Linked DNA regions of Kluyveromyces lactis. The protein of the gene in region 3 interacts with the protein of the main gene of each other region in a pairwise test. Links are inferred from orthologs where the notes say so. Each region holds a gene or a part of one and is shown on either strand. Other genes may lie near its edges. The genes, in order: PEX13, PEX2 and PEX10.

What was found.
Region 1: the proteins of PEX10 (region 3) and PEX13 interact in binary tests that used the Saccharomyces cerevisiae proteins (3 or more experiments, as listed by UniProt). The link is inferred for Kluyveromyces lactis from reciprocal best matches to the Saccharomyces cerevisiae genes PEX10 and PEX13.
Region 2: the proteins of PEX10 (region 3) and PEX2 interact in binary tests that used the Saccharomyces cerevisiae proteins (3 or more experiments, as listed by UniProt). The link is inferred for Kluyveromyces lactis from reciprocal best matches to the Saccharomyces cerevisiae genes PEX10 and PEX2.

The regions. Positions count from the first base shown.
Region 1 is NC_006041.1:1,755,066-1,760,031, reverse strand, and holds PEX13 (peroxin PEX13), read left to right. Parts: upstream 1-2,123; coding exon 2,124-3,350; downstream 3,351-4,966. Other genes in the region: MMR1 (Mmr1p), read left to right, coding at 238-1,605; KLLA0_E19713g (uncharacterized protein), read right to left, coding at 3,670-4,101. UniProt on the Saccharomyces cerevisiae protein: Component of the PEX13-PEX14 docking complex, a translocon channel that specifically mediates the import of peroxisomal cargo proteins bound to PEX5 or PEX21 receptors.
Region 2 is NC_006040.1:36,766-41,042, reverse strand, and holds PEX2 (ubiquitin-protein ligase peroxin 2), read right to left. Parts: upstream 2,540-4,277; coding exon 1,805-2,539; downstream 1-1,804. Other genes in the region: NUC1 (ribonuclease), read left to right, coding at 754-1,752; KLLA0_D00396g (Zn(II)2Cys6 transcription factor domain-containing protein), read left to right, coding at 3,681-4,277. UniProt on the Saccharomyces cerevisiae protein: E3 ubiquitin-protein ligase component of a retrotranslocation channel required for peroxisome organization by mediating export of the PEX5 receptor from peroxisomes to the cytosol, thereby promoting PEX5 recycling.
Region 3 is NC_006041.1:1,479,638-1,484,071, forward strand, and holds PEX10 (ubiquitin-protein ligase peroxin 10), read right to left. Parts: upstream 2,653-4,434; coding exon 1,735-2,652; downstream 1-1,734. Other genes in the region: E3 ubiquitin-protein ligase HEL2, read left to right, coding at 1-1,655; SHE4 (She4p), read left to right, coding at 2,868-4,434. UniProt on the Saccharomyces cerevisiae protein: E3 ubiquitin-protein ligase component of a retrotranslocation channel required for peroxisome organization by mediating export of the PEX5 receptor from peroxisomes to the cytosol, thereby promoting PEX5 recycling.

The DNA.
Region 1 (4,966 bases), about 280 kb from region 3:
GTGGAGCATCAGCCTTTCATAACATCATTCAGCAAAACAAGTTGAGATTCATTTAGGGTTGGAATAAAGAGACAAAAAGAGTATCCCCTACTGTAAAATTTCTCTTAACAAGAAGCTTTTTGCAAAGTTTACCTCTAGAGGTCTAACTTAGAGCACAGTAAACCGCAAATTAGAGATAGGCACAATAGCGTACGGGAGTGCAAACTTCATCCAATATAAAACAGAAACAAAAAGAAGATGCTCGGAGGTGGCATTGATGATACAATGATTGCTCATGGCTCATCGATTTATCTAGACGATAACGGTGCCTACCCCAAACGACTTAGGACATCTTTGTCAAAAATTATGGACAAGCAACTGGATTACAATAATAGTATGGCAAACGTGATACCGATAGGTCCAAGGTCTAGGTCTAGGTCGAACTCAATTGGAGGAGATACCAATCCCACTCCTATTTCATCAATGCTAAGATCTACTTCTCCAATTAGGATATCTCCAATACCTGGTCCTGTGAAAGTGCAACCGCCTAAGATGTACAAGAAAGAATACCTTTTGAAGAACAACAACAGTAATCAAGTGATAAAAAATGTTCCAATAGTTGGCACAAAAATGAATGCCAATGGAAATGATAACTTAAATCGTGGGTCCAATGGCAAACCTGCTCTTGGGCATAGAAGAGGAATGTCTAGTACATCCCAGTTAAGTAATACCACAAAATACGTTGAGCTAGAACCTCCAAAAATAGGTGATAGGTTCCCATCCTCAGATTCATATACTTCAAGTTCACCGACTGTAACACTTGATCTTGAACTTCAAATGCTAGCTGATGAGGAGGTACAAAATGGATTAAATGATAACAATGGGGCTGTCAATAACAAAAGAAATAGTATACTATCAAATTTCATGAATGACGAACAGCTGTGGCTGAATAATAAAGATGATTTCCAATATCCTGACGATCATCATTTCGACAAAGAAAGACTAGATCTGACAATCAAGAAACTTCAACTGAAGATTGATGAGTTGAAACTGGATAACGATAAATTGCATTTGGATAACGAGAATTTAAAAGATATCAACAATAGTTTAACGAGAGCAAATGAGTCCTTGACCTTCCAAAGCAGCTCGTTATTACAGCATATACAACAATTACCAAGAATATCAAATACAGACTTCATAATTCACAATTCAGACAGGTCACGGGAGAATATATCGAATAAACCACCATTCAAATCAGATGCACTAGTAAAGATCGCTGTTGAAGGAAAGATAAAAGAGCTAGAGAAAGAATTAGCTAAATGCAGAAGAATTCAGAAGGCTTTGGAATCCAGACTGAGCCCAAGGAAAAACAGGGTAAAGTACTTAACAGTTGAACAACTCGACGCGCTGGCTGAATCCAAATCGGAGAGTAAGCCAGATGAATCTAGTTTACATATCAGCGATCCCGACAACACTACCGCTCATAACAGTACTACGACATTAGATTGTGACGAAGGCGAGGTATTATCGGGGAGTATTAATCCAACGAGACTACAGCATGGTTTCAATTTACGCATACAATTAACTTCTTTAGAAGAAAGCAAACACAAGAAGGACTTTTCATAAGATAATTACAAATTTTTTTCAAGCATAATACGGACAACATTTTCGATTCAATATTTACAACTATCCAATGCTGCTGATAAAGCTTTGTAGTAGATACATTCAACTCACATTGCAGCTGCTTCATTTCGAACTTTTATACATTCTTTCAATAATAACAAGGATACATATATACATAATATGCGTGTCATTCGGAACCAATTTAAATACAAAATATTTAAAAGAAGGAAATAAGGATTTTCATTCAAGTATCCAACGGTTCTTCGTGGAAAAGATATCGTCTATTGCTGATGAAAAGACGATATCTACTATTGTCTTTAAGTCACGACGCAGGAAATAGTAACTTGTTACCCGGCCAAAGCATATTTCAAAGATTGACGATGATTCTAAAAGTAACATTGAATCATGTCGTGGAGCTTAAATACAGGTAACGACAGTGATGAATACACATCGATTGTAGCGGTTTTGGCTTCTATTAAGTGCTGTGATCGAAGTTCATATTTATTAGAGCATCAGTAGTCATGTCACAATCGGCAGGTGTTTCCAGACCGAAGCCCTGGGAGCAGAAAAATGGAGTTGAGAGTTTAGGAACTGATGCCAGTTTTACTGAGAATAGCAGTGCGTTGCAACCATCTGGTAATCAGCCTGACTTACCATCCAAACCGAACGGTTTAAATGAGGGTATGGATTCTTTGAACGGGGGAAACCCTCTTCGAAATGGTATGTCTGGATATGGTTCGGCGTATGGTGGAGGTTTAGGTACAGGATATGGAATGGGTTCCATGGGTGGTGGATATGGATCCATGTACGGAGGTGGTTATGGCTCTATGTATGGTGGTGGTTTAGGGTCGATGTACGGCGGTGGTTTAGGGTCGATGTATGGGGGAGGGTTCGGATCAATGTATGGGATGAACGGTATGAACGGTATGAATGGAGGACCCTCGGGGATTGCAGAGTCAACACAGGCAACTTTCCAGTTAATAGAAGGGCTTATAGGAGCCGTTGCTGGTTTCGCCCAGATGTTAGAAGCTACATATATGGCTACCCATAACTCTTTTTTCACTATGATAACCGTTGCGGAACAGTTTCAATATATGAAGGAGCTTTTGGGATCATTCTTTGGTATATTTGCCTTGATAAAATTCGTAAAAAAGATCTTGTACAGAGTTACAGGTGGTAAGATGGGAGTAGCGCCTTCCAAAAAGCGCTTAGGGATAGAGGGCGGAAAGAGCCAGGGCTCAGATCTTTCAAAACAATTTATCGAAGAATTCAGGGACTCAGATCTGACGAAGAAAAAGGGTAGAAGAATTTCATGGAAACCATTGATTGTGTTTTTAGCAGCTGTGTTCGGCTTCCCGTACCTTTTGAACAAATTTATTCAGAAATTACAACAGCACCAAAAAGCCAAAATAGCTGGCGGCGCTATGGCACAACAAATCTTAGATCCTAATAACCTAGAATTTGCAAGAGCGATCTATGATTTCGTTCCTGAGAATCCAAGAATTGAATGTAACTTAAAGAAAGGAGATCTAATGGCAATCATTTCCAAGAAAGATCCACTAGGAAATAACTCTGAATGGTGGAAAGTCAGAACAAAACAAGGAAATATTGGGTACGTTCCATACAACTATCTTGAGTTGATTAAGAAAAGGAAAAATGGCGTACCTGTTGAATCTGAGAAATCGAATACTTCTGAAGAACTGGCGGATTCAACCTCGGTAGACCATCTATTACAGAATCAACAGTGATTACATGGTGATGGACAAGAATTGAATATGGCGGGTCACAAATGCTAAGTTAAAGATGTGATAGCTTCAGAAAGTTTCAGACTAAGTATTAAGAAGAATTACGTTGTATTTTTCTCTTGTTTCACGTTATATATGTATTTGTGGTTACTACACATTTATTATTCCATTGCTCGAACCCCAGATACGGCATTTGGAATGCTAGAATATTAGCACAAGGGCGTTTATTGTCACCCTGCTGCTTAAAGGATCAGGTAATTTGGTTTATTGGGAAAAGAGGACATCGACATTCCGGACTTTATCATCATCTCATTCCTTATTTTTATTCGTTTAGTTTGTCAGCAGCATTTTCCAGTTTTTCTTTACCCTTGGCAGCGGCTTCCTTACCCTTGGCAGCAGCCTCTCTACCTTTGGCTTGGGCGTGTTCCTTACCTTTCTCTGCAAGATCGCTGGCCTTGTTTGAAGCCGTGTCAGCAGCTTCCTTGGCATCCTGCCCTGTCATATTGAATATCCCTTTCACTTTTTCTTCAACATTTTGGAAATTTTCACCCAAGTGATGAGTTGCTTCTTCGGTCTTCTCAATACCTTCAGCTGCAGCTTTACCAACTTTCTTGTTAACGTCTTCTAAAGTTTCTTTGATACCTTTAGAATCAATGTTAGAATTGTGAATAGAACGAGCCATAGGAGAATTTGTGAATAATCTAGAGGCAGCTGGGACTCTGGAACCTCTGTAAATAGTCTTTGAAATCATCATTTTGAAAATAGGAATATGTGGGTATAGTAGTGTTGCTCTCTCGTTGCGTTAATCGATCACGGGCTTGATTGATTCGTATCTGAATTTGATAATGGTGTATTTAAAGGTGTCTAATCCTAGAAGAGGCATTATTCTTTCGACCATGCCCTATATATATATACATACTAGTATGTATCATATATCTGGATTTGTATCATCTGTTTTTCAACATGTTAAGGTTTGCTACTAAATGGTACAATATCTATCGACAATAGTACTGGAGAGATGGTAACTTGCTTTTGTAGCAGAAATACGTATTCCATCCCTAATAGAACTCGACAGATTCTTTCTGAGCAGCATTATGAGTTGACGCAATTTGAACCTCCATGAAATGCCCAAGGACATCGATCCATTTAATCATCGGGGTCTCATCATTATGATCCGATTGCTGATAATATTACATAACCTATATCAAGTACACATTCAAACCCTCCCTGAGTCTGGGGATCCTATCCCACAAATACCAGTACAGATTGAATCCCACAGAGAATATTAACTGCCACGAATACTGCCATGTATATGTGCGTATATTTTCTTAGCATCTTCAATTAGCAAACTGTCGTCAAACACCGTGTAGTATCGTTTTTTTTTGCTATCAACATTTTGCGTTTGAGAAAGACAGACATACAGAGCAGGAAAAAAGAACAGAAATAGAGCAATCACTTTGCTGCAGAAGGTGGAGAGTCTCACTTTGAAAGACATTCAGGACGGTTGTCAACTTATCCATCGGAATAGTCTATGAAACTTGTAAGAATGAATTTGTGTTACTATGTTGTCGTTTTAGACAATCCGCAGAAAGTTCAGTGAATAATATAATGAATGGTGA
Region 2 (4,277 bases), on a different chromosome or scaffold from region 3:
TTTTGTCTGATGGCATAGATACTCACTTTTAAGGTTTTCTATACCGTTTTGCCATGCTCTTTTGTATGTCGGAAGATTGATAGCAAAAATACTACGGAAATGAGCAAGAATGACAAGTCAAAAGTGGTTGCTTTAGAACGTGTAGTCCTGACATATAAATGTATATACATACCTAACTGGGCGTTTGTGGTTCCTTGCGATTTCCACCCAATGCTGAAGCTAAGATAACGTGCTGTGTCTTCCTAAGATGAACAGAAAGGAACATCGAAACATGGACAAATCCAAATACCATTTCAATGGTTCAATATTTTTCAGAAACCCGCCCTATTATTCGAACTGGTAATATATAGGTTTCCGCCGCAGTTAGCATGTACGATGTTCATAGTAATCGTTATGACATCCGTGGTTTTTGTTCAAGAAAACAATCATAAGGCTCACAACTTTCATTGCTATAGACGCTGTGACAAAAATATCTTCTATTTAGGACTAGGATGTCCTCGATTCTGTGATGCTGTAGCACTACTGCAGCATTACTACTAGCAAACGCTACTAAATATTCAACTCATGCACTTATTGTTGACCTAAGCCCTTATTCATTATACTGTCCGGAGTGAAAAAAAAAAAAAAAAAATTCTCGTAATGCATTCCAGCCTAAAATAATACAAGAGTGTCATCCCAGAAGCTGCAATCACCAGAATATCATTTAATTGTCAAGTAATTTGAATCGCTTGGTGCTGAGGAAATAGACCGGCCATGAGCTTTTCAAGAAACGCTTTTAGTGCGTTAGTCGGTGTTGGTACCGTGTCGTACTTTTGGGGGAAATCTAGTGCACTATCTGGCGGAAACTCTGGTACCTCATTCCCGGGATCCACTGGTAGTAGCAATAACATTCCATCAGATCCCAGTTCCTCAAACCAAGCTGGTCGCGTCTCGTTAGTTGGAAGTAACGTTGATCCTGGTGCATTCTTCAAGTACGGATTCCCTGGGCCAATTCATGATCTGGAAACAAGACAAGAGTTCATCTCGTGCTATGATAGGAGAACAAGGAACCCATACTGGGTACTTGAGCACATTACACCAGAATCCTTAAAGACAAAGGGTGCTGATAGGAAGAACTCTATATTCAAGGAAGACGAGCAGATTCCAGAGATGTTCCGCGGTCGACTAAAGGATTATTTCAGATCCGGTTACGATAGAGGACATCAAGCCCCTGCGGCGAACGCGAAGTTCTCCCAACAGGCAATGGACGATACTTTCTATTTGACTAATATGTGCCCTCAAGTGGGTGAAGGTTTCAATAGAGATTACTGGGCACATTTGGAGTATTTCTGCAGACAATTAGTCGATAAATACAACAGTGTTCGAATTATGACAGGTCCCTTATACTTGCCGAAGCGAGACCCCAAAGACGGTAAGTTCAAAGTCACATACGAGATGATTGGAAATCCACCTAACATTGCAGTCCCAACGCATTTTTTCAAGTTGGTCGTGGCTGAAAGACCTAAGCAGCTTGGAAATGGTCGTGATGATGAGCTGCACGTTGCCGCATTTGTCTTACCAAATGCTCCTATTTCGAACTCTACAACATTAATAGAGTTTGAAGTACCCGTCAATGCATTAGAAAGGAGTTCCGGCCTGCAGCTGTTGCAGAATGTTCCAAAGGAGAAGAAGAAGGAGTTGTGTAAACAAGTGCGGTGCGAAATAACTGTAAGAGAGTTTAATAATACTGTTTTAGCATTGCCTGGGAAGTAATAACGTATATAGATTTGGCCTAGGTGTGAATATATAGGGTATAATAAACACTTTAGCAAAAGAATTTTGGGTTCTTAGTATTACAAACTAGGCAATGTGACTGTTCCACTTCCAACGCACAAGTGTAGCAATACCTTGTATTGCAGCAAGTGATTGTAAATGCATTTGTAGCGACCTCACCACAAACAGGGCATAAAGTATTCTTTTGCGAAAACTTCTCACCAGGGGCCCCAACTGAAGAACTACCACCGGCAATAGCCTTTGCAGCTGCCACCGCAGCTGCGTTAGTACTTGTCACAGAAACGAATCCGTTTTTAAATAACGATAGACCAGCTATCATCTCAATGGAAGCATTCCAGAGCATCTGAACCTCAGATGCTGATGATCCTGAAGTAGTATCAGAATACGAGAATCCCGGTTGGAACACTGCAGGGACTCGGAACAATCGATGCAAAAGAGAGGGACCACCTGTACCCGACGTTAAAAATTGTAAAAGATGGATCAAATCTAAAAGTTCGTAAACCAAATTGGTCCTTTCAAACCGATGCAACAGATGTCTTAATACCACGGTAACAGCAAATAACCGCCAACGAGAGCATTGATAGCCAACACCAGTGAGAACACTACCATATGTTGCGACACTACCCTGATGCCATCGCCTACTCCCAAGTAAGAATACCAGAATTTCAACAACTATCTGCGGACAAGGAAAACCCAAATCCGATTGAAGTGCCCTGGTGAGCTGCAGATCAAGTGAAACTCCATCTAATTGAGCAACCCTTGACATATTCGGATCGACAGATAACGTATTGCGCTTAAAACACTCACTACCCTTCGTTACTTAGTGTTAGCAATGAAATATTTCACCGGTACAAATTGCAAAATAATAAAGCAGCAGCGTGACTTCCAGATAATAAAACACAGTACCTATCTCTCTTGATATAGATAGATGTCTCACTGTAATACAATCGGACAGTATGGATACCAGGAACTATGAGACCAGGGCTGCGATAACTCCGAAATTATATTCCCCGTTGTTTGGATGGCCTCCAGTTTATCCTTACTTCGAGGGCATTTTTTTTGCTCTTTGTACTCGGTACTTTTATGCCAAAGGCTATTCAGTTATTCGTTTCGTACGTATCTGACTGAGAGCTTCTACCGCGGAGTTAGAGAAAAATCTGCAAGCAAAAAAAGCACAGTCAATCAAACAAGGAGAATGCAGCAGAAAATGCTACAATACTTTTTTGGGCCGTAGGCTTCACGTTTTGATCTATTAAAGTGTGTCTAAACGCCGCAGCGCAGCTTACCTGAGCTTATGTGATATACACCGAATAGTCTACAACATCCGTTTTTGTCAAGTGAGCCTTTTCGGTCAATATTGGGAAGCAGCTTATTATACGGGGATGCTTTTACATACCGCACCGGTAATATACCACAAAAAAATATCGGACACACAGGGTTATGGACTGGTTCCGTCAATCGCAGAAGGGTTCGGTTCAGAGCCTGGTTCTTTGTTTGTTTGTTTTTTTGCCTGCTAGTGTCATCAACGGGGAATTACTGAGAGCCCACCTTAAGGGCCATTAGGACTTTCTGGCAGTTTTTTTAATCTCCTGTTATTTTGAAGTTCGAAACTCCAGAGTTTTTCCTCGGTTAAAGCTAATTCTAGGAGATGAGTTACTTTATAATGCTTTAATTACATTTGCTTTTCGATATCAAGCCATCTATATGTACATAAATATATATATATATATATATATATATGGATGTGAATGTAAGTGTATGTATAGATATACGCGGGCACTTGCCAGTGGTTGTTGGGATAACGCGCAGATTTCATCCCATTAGTTCTCTGAGTGCCGCTGGCAGATACTGGCTACCATCCGTTCGTACCTCTGCGTGCCCCAAATTTTTTTTTCCTAACATTAAAAATGCTCAAACCGTTGCGGTCTTGTACCAGATGCAGAAAGAACAAGGTAAAATGTGATTCTGCAAACACAAGACCCGGTCCTTGCACTGCCTGTTCGAAACGTGGTTTGGTGTGTACGCTGGATTACGTCGTACCACCGCGTCGGTCTGATGAACTTAAAAAGCTTCATCACAGTGTCTCATGTGTCAAGGGAAGTGTCGAACGGTTGTTAAAAAGTTCAGTTGTATCCTCAACGTCCATTGATGATCAAAACGAGGAAAATGCTTATAGATTTGGTTCCTCCAGCATTATTGAGCTTGGTAACGATGACGCTGGTTGTCATCGCGCTTCTACAACTACTAACAGGAATAATCAATCTCAGCACCAACACCAAAACGAGCAGGTCACGTGGGTGTCCATCCAAAAGTCTCTCGCTGGCGTGGTACCCAGTAGGATTATAAAAGTATCTGATGATTTCTTCATCAGGTTGATGCTAAAACATAGCTCGCTCCTTATCAATAACTTTGAAATAGATTTATTTGATTTGGAAGAAGTCTTGTTCGAATTTATGTTCATTGTCAAATCTTTGCTTCCGAGTGAACGTCTGCCACCTTTTAAT
Region 3 (4,434 bases):
ATCCTACTTGTCACAAGTGTTGTTTAAGACAAAGAGCGTTGTACGAAAAGAAACAGTGTTTGTTCTGTAGAAGTGAAGTTGAGGATATCATCTTCACGGATAAGATAAAAGAAACTTATGAGCATTTGGATAAGAAGGCCAAATTGGAATTCAAGAACGAGAAATTGGGGATACGGTTTACCAGCAAAAATGTTATGAATGATGCTATGAATCTTTTGAAATACGTCTCACCGTTTGGAGATGCCAATAAAGATTTTGGATCGTTTAAGAAGTTGAACGAATTCTTGAGACAAGAACATAATAAGACAATATGTATGATTTGTGCTGGGCATAAAAAAGCGTTCCCCGGCGAGTTAAAAGTTATGACTGTTAAGCAATTAAAGATACACGAAAGTCGTGGCGACCCTAAGGATGGATTTAAAGGCCATCCTATGTGTGGATTTTGCTCTGGTAAAAGGTTCTACTCTGACGATGAGCTTTATAAGCACATGAAACTTTCCCATGAAAGATGTCATATCTGTGATCAACTAGACCCATCACAACCGCAATATTTCAAAAACTATGAGGACTTATTCGAACATTTCAAATCAGCCCATTACGTATGCACGGTACCGTCCTGCCTCGATGCCAAATTTGTCGTCTTCAGTGATGAGTTGGACTTAAGAGCACATATCATCAAAGAACATCCTCATCTTGCAGGTGATAGCAGAAGAGCTATGACGTTGATAGATAATACCTCAAAGAAGTTCAGATCACAAATTACTACGTTCTCCAATCCAACAAGAATTATAGATGCACAGAATGAGGAATCAAATTCTGCAAACTCAAGAGATGTCAAAAGGAGGAGAATGGAACAAAGAGCAAGACATTACCTTGGGAACTCTGAACCAGACTTCCAGTCCTTCTTAATCATCAATGACCTATTTAACAAAAACGAAATTTCTGCTCAAGAGCTTCAATCCAAATATGAAGACTTGTTTAAGCAACACGCGGATGATATACAATTACTAATTTACGATTTATCGGAGTTATATCATTCAACTTCGGATAAACACAAAAGATTGCGTGCTATATACGAAGGCATTATGAAGAAGAAAGAGAATGCAGGGAAATTCAAACCTCTCGTCGCCGATTCATCATCTTCGGTTAACGTAGTTTATGGTAAATGGGGTAAAAAGAGTTCTTCTGGTGTTGGCGGGTCGAACGTGAAGTTCACGTCTCTACCAGCTGTATCCGAACCTATATTCTCCTCCAAAGCCTCGTATACTAATTTGCGGAAAAATGGCTCTTCTTCACCGTCCTCTCCAGTTATTAGGAGCGGTTTGACTTCCAATTCATCGTCATCAACTTCTTTAAACTATGCGAAGAAGAATCAATCACCGCCAGGTTCTTCAACCGTTGTAGTGAATTCACAACCGAATGTGACAGCTATCAAATCACCTAATCCAACCAGCTTCCCCAAGTTACAAGCTACTAAGAAAAAATTTGTTGCACCTCCAGTGAAACAGACTACCATACCAAACCCATCCACTTGGGGTAAGCCTCAAAACGACAACGATTCTATCAACTTGGATTCGTTAGACAATGCATTACCAGCTAGTGGTAGTAAGAAAAAGAGCAAACAAAAACAACTACTGTTCCATATTGGCATATAGATTTAACCCCGTTATATACAGCAGATTGTTTTAATAATACAAGAAAGCTCGCTGAAACATTTAGATATTCTTCTAAGCTTTATCTAACAGGTATCGTCAGCTGTCTCGGACACCTTTGCCTGCATAATGGACACTCCTGTCTTTCTAACGTCCATTCCATGATACAATCCCAGCAGAAAAGGTGACCACACGGAGTCGCGCTGGGATCCAGCATATAGTTAAGACATAAAACACACTTACGTGAATCCTCTTTGATGAAAGGTAGGACTTCTAGATCGCTAAGATCTTTTGAGGTGTGTTTTTTAGCTAATGCACTTAAACTCTTGTGGCTCTTCCCATCATCTGTTCCAATTCTGTCAGCGATGTATTCTGCAATCTGCGGTAAAAGCTTAGAAGCTAATTGCATACCAAGTATAAAACCAAGAATCTTGTAGTTTTGCGATGACTTCTTCTTGAATTCTACCTCATTCTTGTTCATTTCATGGCCAACCACATATCTCATTCCAAATATTCTCTTTGAGATATCATAATACTGTCCGCTCAAGTAGAATATAATTAAGTGCAAATTCAAAGTGGAATCCAAGATGTCCCTGAAACTCTTGCCATTGAATACTTTCAAGAAACCAGATCCCCTCTCATTGAGCTTATACTTGTAGAATACTTTCGATAATATCCACGGTACCCCACAATAACTGATAGCGAAACCAATCCTTCGCAGGAGTCTCGCAACACCTTTTCCTCGCCTATCAACATACGCCAAATCAACGTACTCTTCTCCAAGCGTTCTCCTATACCTTAGTGTTGTAATTGACAAGTATATCAACTTGCTGAGGATCATTATCTCACTAACATACCTGTTAGTGAACTGTTGTCCCTTAACTTTCCGTAGTACATCCTGGATCTTTTGTAACAGCAAGTTTTCCACAGTATCATCCTTTTGATGCGCCTGAACTATACTAGGTGCATCAGCAAATGGGAACTTCATGTCTGGTGCCATTGCTTGTCTCTCGTCAGTTTGTGTTCTTATTCGTTTTTGAAGATGTTAGATGGTTGAAATTGATCAATTGGAGAAATGAAGTTTTATTTGATTAATCATAGGGTTCGAAACCAGAGATAACTAAACCCGATCTAACATACAGTTGTTTGGGCTGGTACCGATAGTTCAATTCTGTGAATTTATTCTTTTTGTAATTCAATAAAGATATCAACGCTATGAATAAAGTTTGGGATAGAATTGTTGGCAGTGATAGTGCCGATGCTCAAAGTGTATTGAAAGAAAGATGTTCATCTCCGAAGGACGTGACGGATTTGTTGCACGTTATTCAAAACTGGACCTCAGAGATACATAACAATGGCGAGGAAACACGATGCTGGAAGTGTGTGCCGATGCTTGCCGGTTATGTGAAGGATTGGGGTCAATTGGAGTTTCTTTGCAGAAGAATACTTTTAAGAAGTAGCATACAAGAGATACGGCCATTACTTCTTGTAACGATGAAATCGTTGATGTCCAACCATTCAGATAATACGGAGCAGAAGTGTGGGAATATACTACAACAATTGTTAATTGAAGCCGAGGAAGATTCTGGCAATGTTTCTTTACGTTTGCTTGTAGATGCTATGTCTTTGGTGTTCCCTATCTGCCTTGGCGTTTGTAGAGACATGTTTCTTTCGACAGATTTCCAGGACATATTGACTAGGAATTTGAATTCTTCAGCGGATGATGAACATCTTGTAAACGGGGCTCTTCGTCTCTTGGCTGTTTCCTGTATTGACGAAGCAGTCAGAAGATTCATTGCAGAGCATTACCTTAAGACGTTACAACAATCATTTAAGGTCGAGAAGTATAAAGTACTGACTGCGTTGGTTTTGATCAAGATCTGGTCATTCACTAAGATAGAAAAGGAAACTCTTAACTCTTGCATCAACCTTTTCATCGACTCGCTTTCGAATGGCGAAAATATCGAGATTAATACTGAAGCTTTAGCTTACTTGACATTGAAGCCCTCTGTCAGAGTCTTGCTACGAGGTAACGGTGATGTATGTTTGAAAATAATCGAGCTGATCAAGTCACAGGACACTACACCGACTGATCTATACGGACTCTTGATTATATTAGCAAACGTAAGTGAGCACCCGTCACAGAATGAGGATACAGTCGATAAATTAAAAGCTTCATTGAAAACCAACCAAGAAAAGAATGACGAGCCGACATTGGAAAATGTTAAGGACATAGAAGAGTTTAACCGTGATTATATTATCGATTTAGACTTGATCGGTTCTTTAAAATCGATAAAACTATCCACCTCATCTTACAATCAAGCCATAAGAATCATATATAATGTGACAAGAGATAAAACACAGATATCAGAATGTGTGAAACAGGGTGCTGGATTGATGCTCTTGGTATTTTTAGCACAAAAAAGGAACCTTTCTAAAGATGAATGGTATCTTCTATCGATAAGAGCACTATCGAAAACACTCATCTATGTGAATCCAGAGACTGCGTTCAGCAAATATTCACCGTTGAGCGCAGCACCGTTCTTATTTGAAAATTTACCTTTACCAAATGACAACGCTTTATCGGAACTTCAATTCACACAATTAGATACTTACGAAGCATTATTAGCGTTGACAAATTTGGCTACTATAAACCAGGGAGTAGATCTCGGCAAAATCATCTTGAGTAATGCTCAGTATTGGGATAGTATAGAGAATCTCTTATTGGATTCATCGGTCAGAATTCAAAGATCGACATTAGAACTTATTTCCAATTTAATGT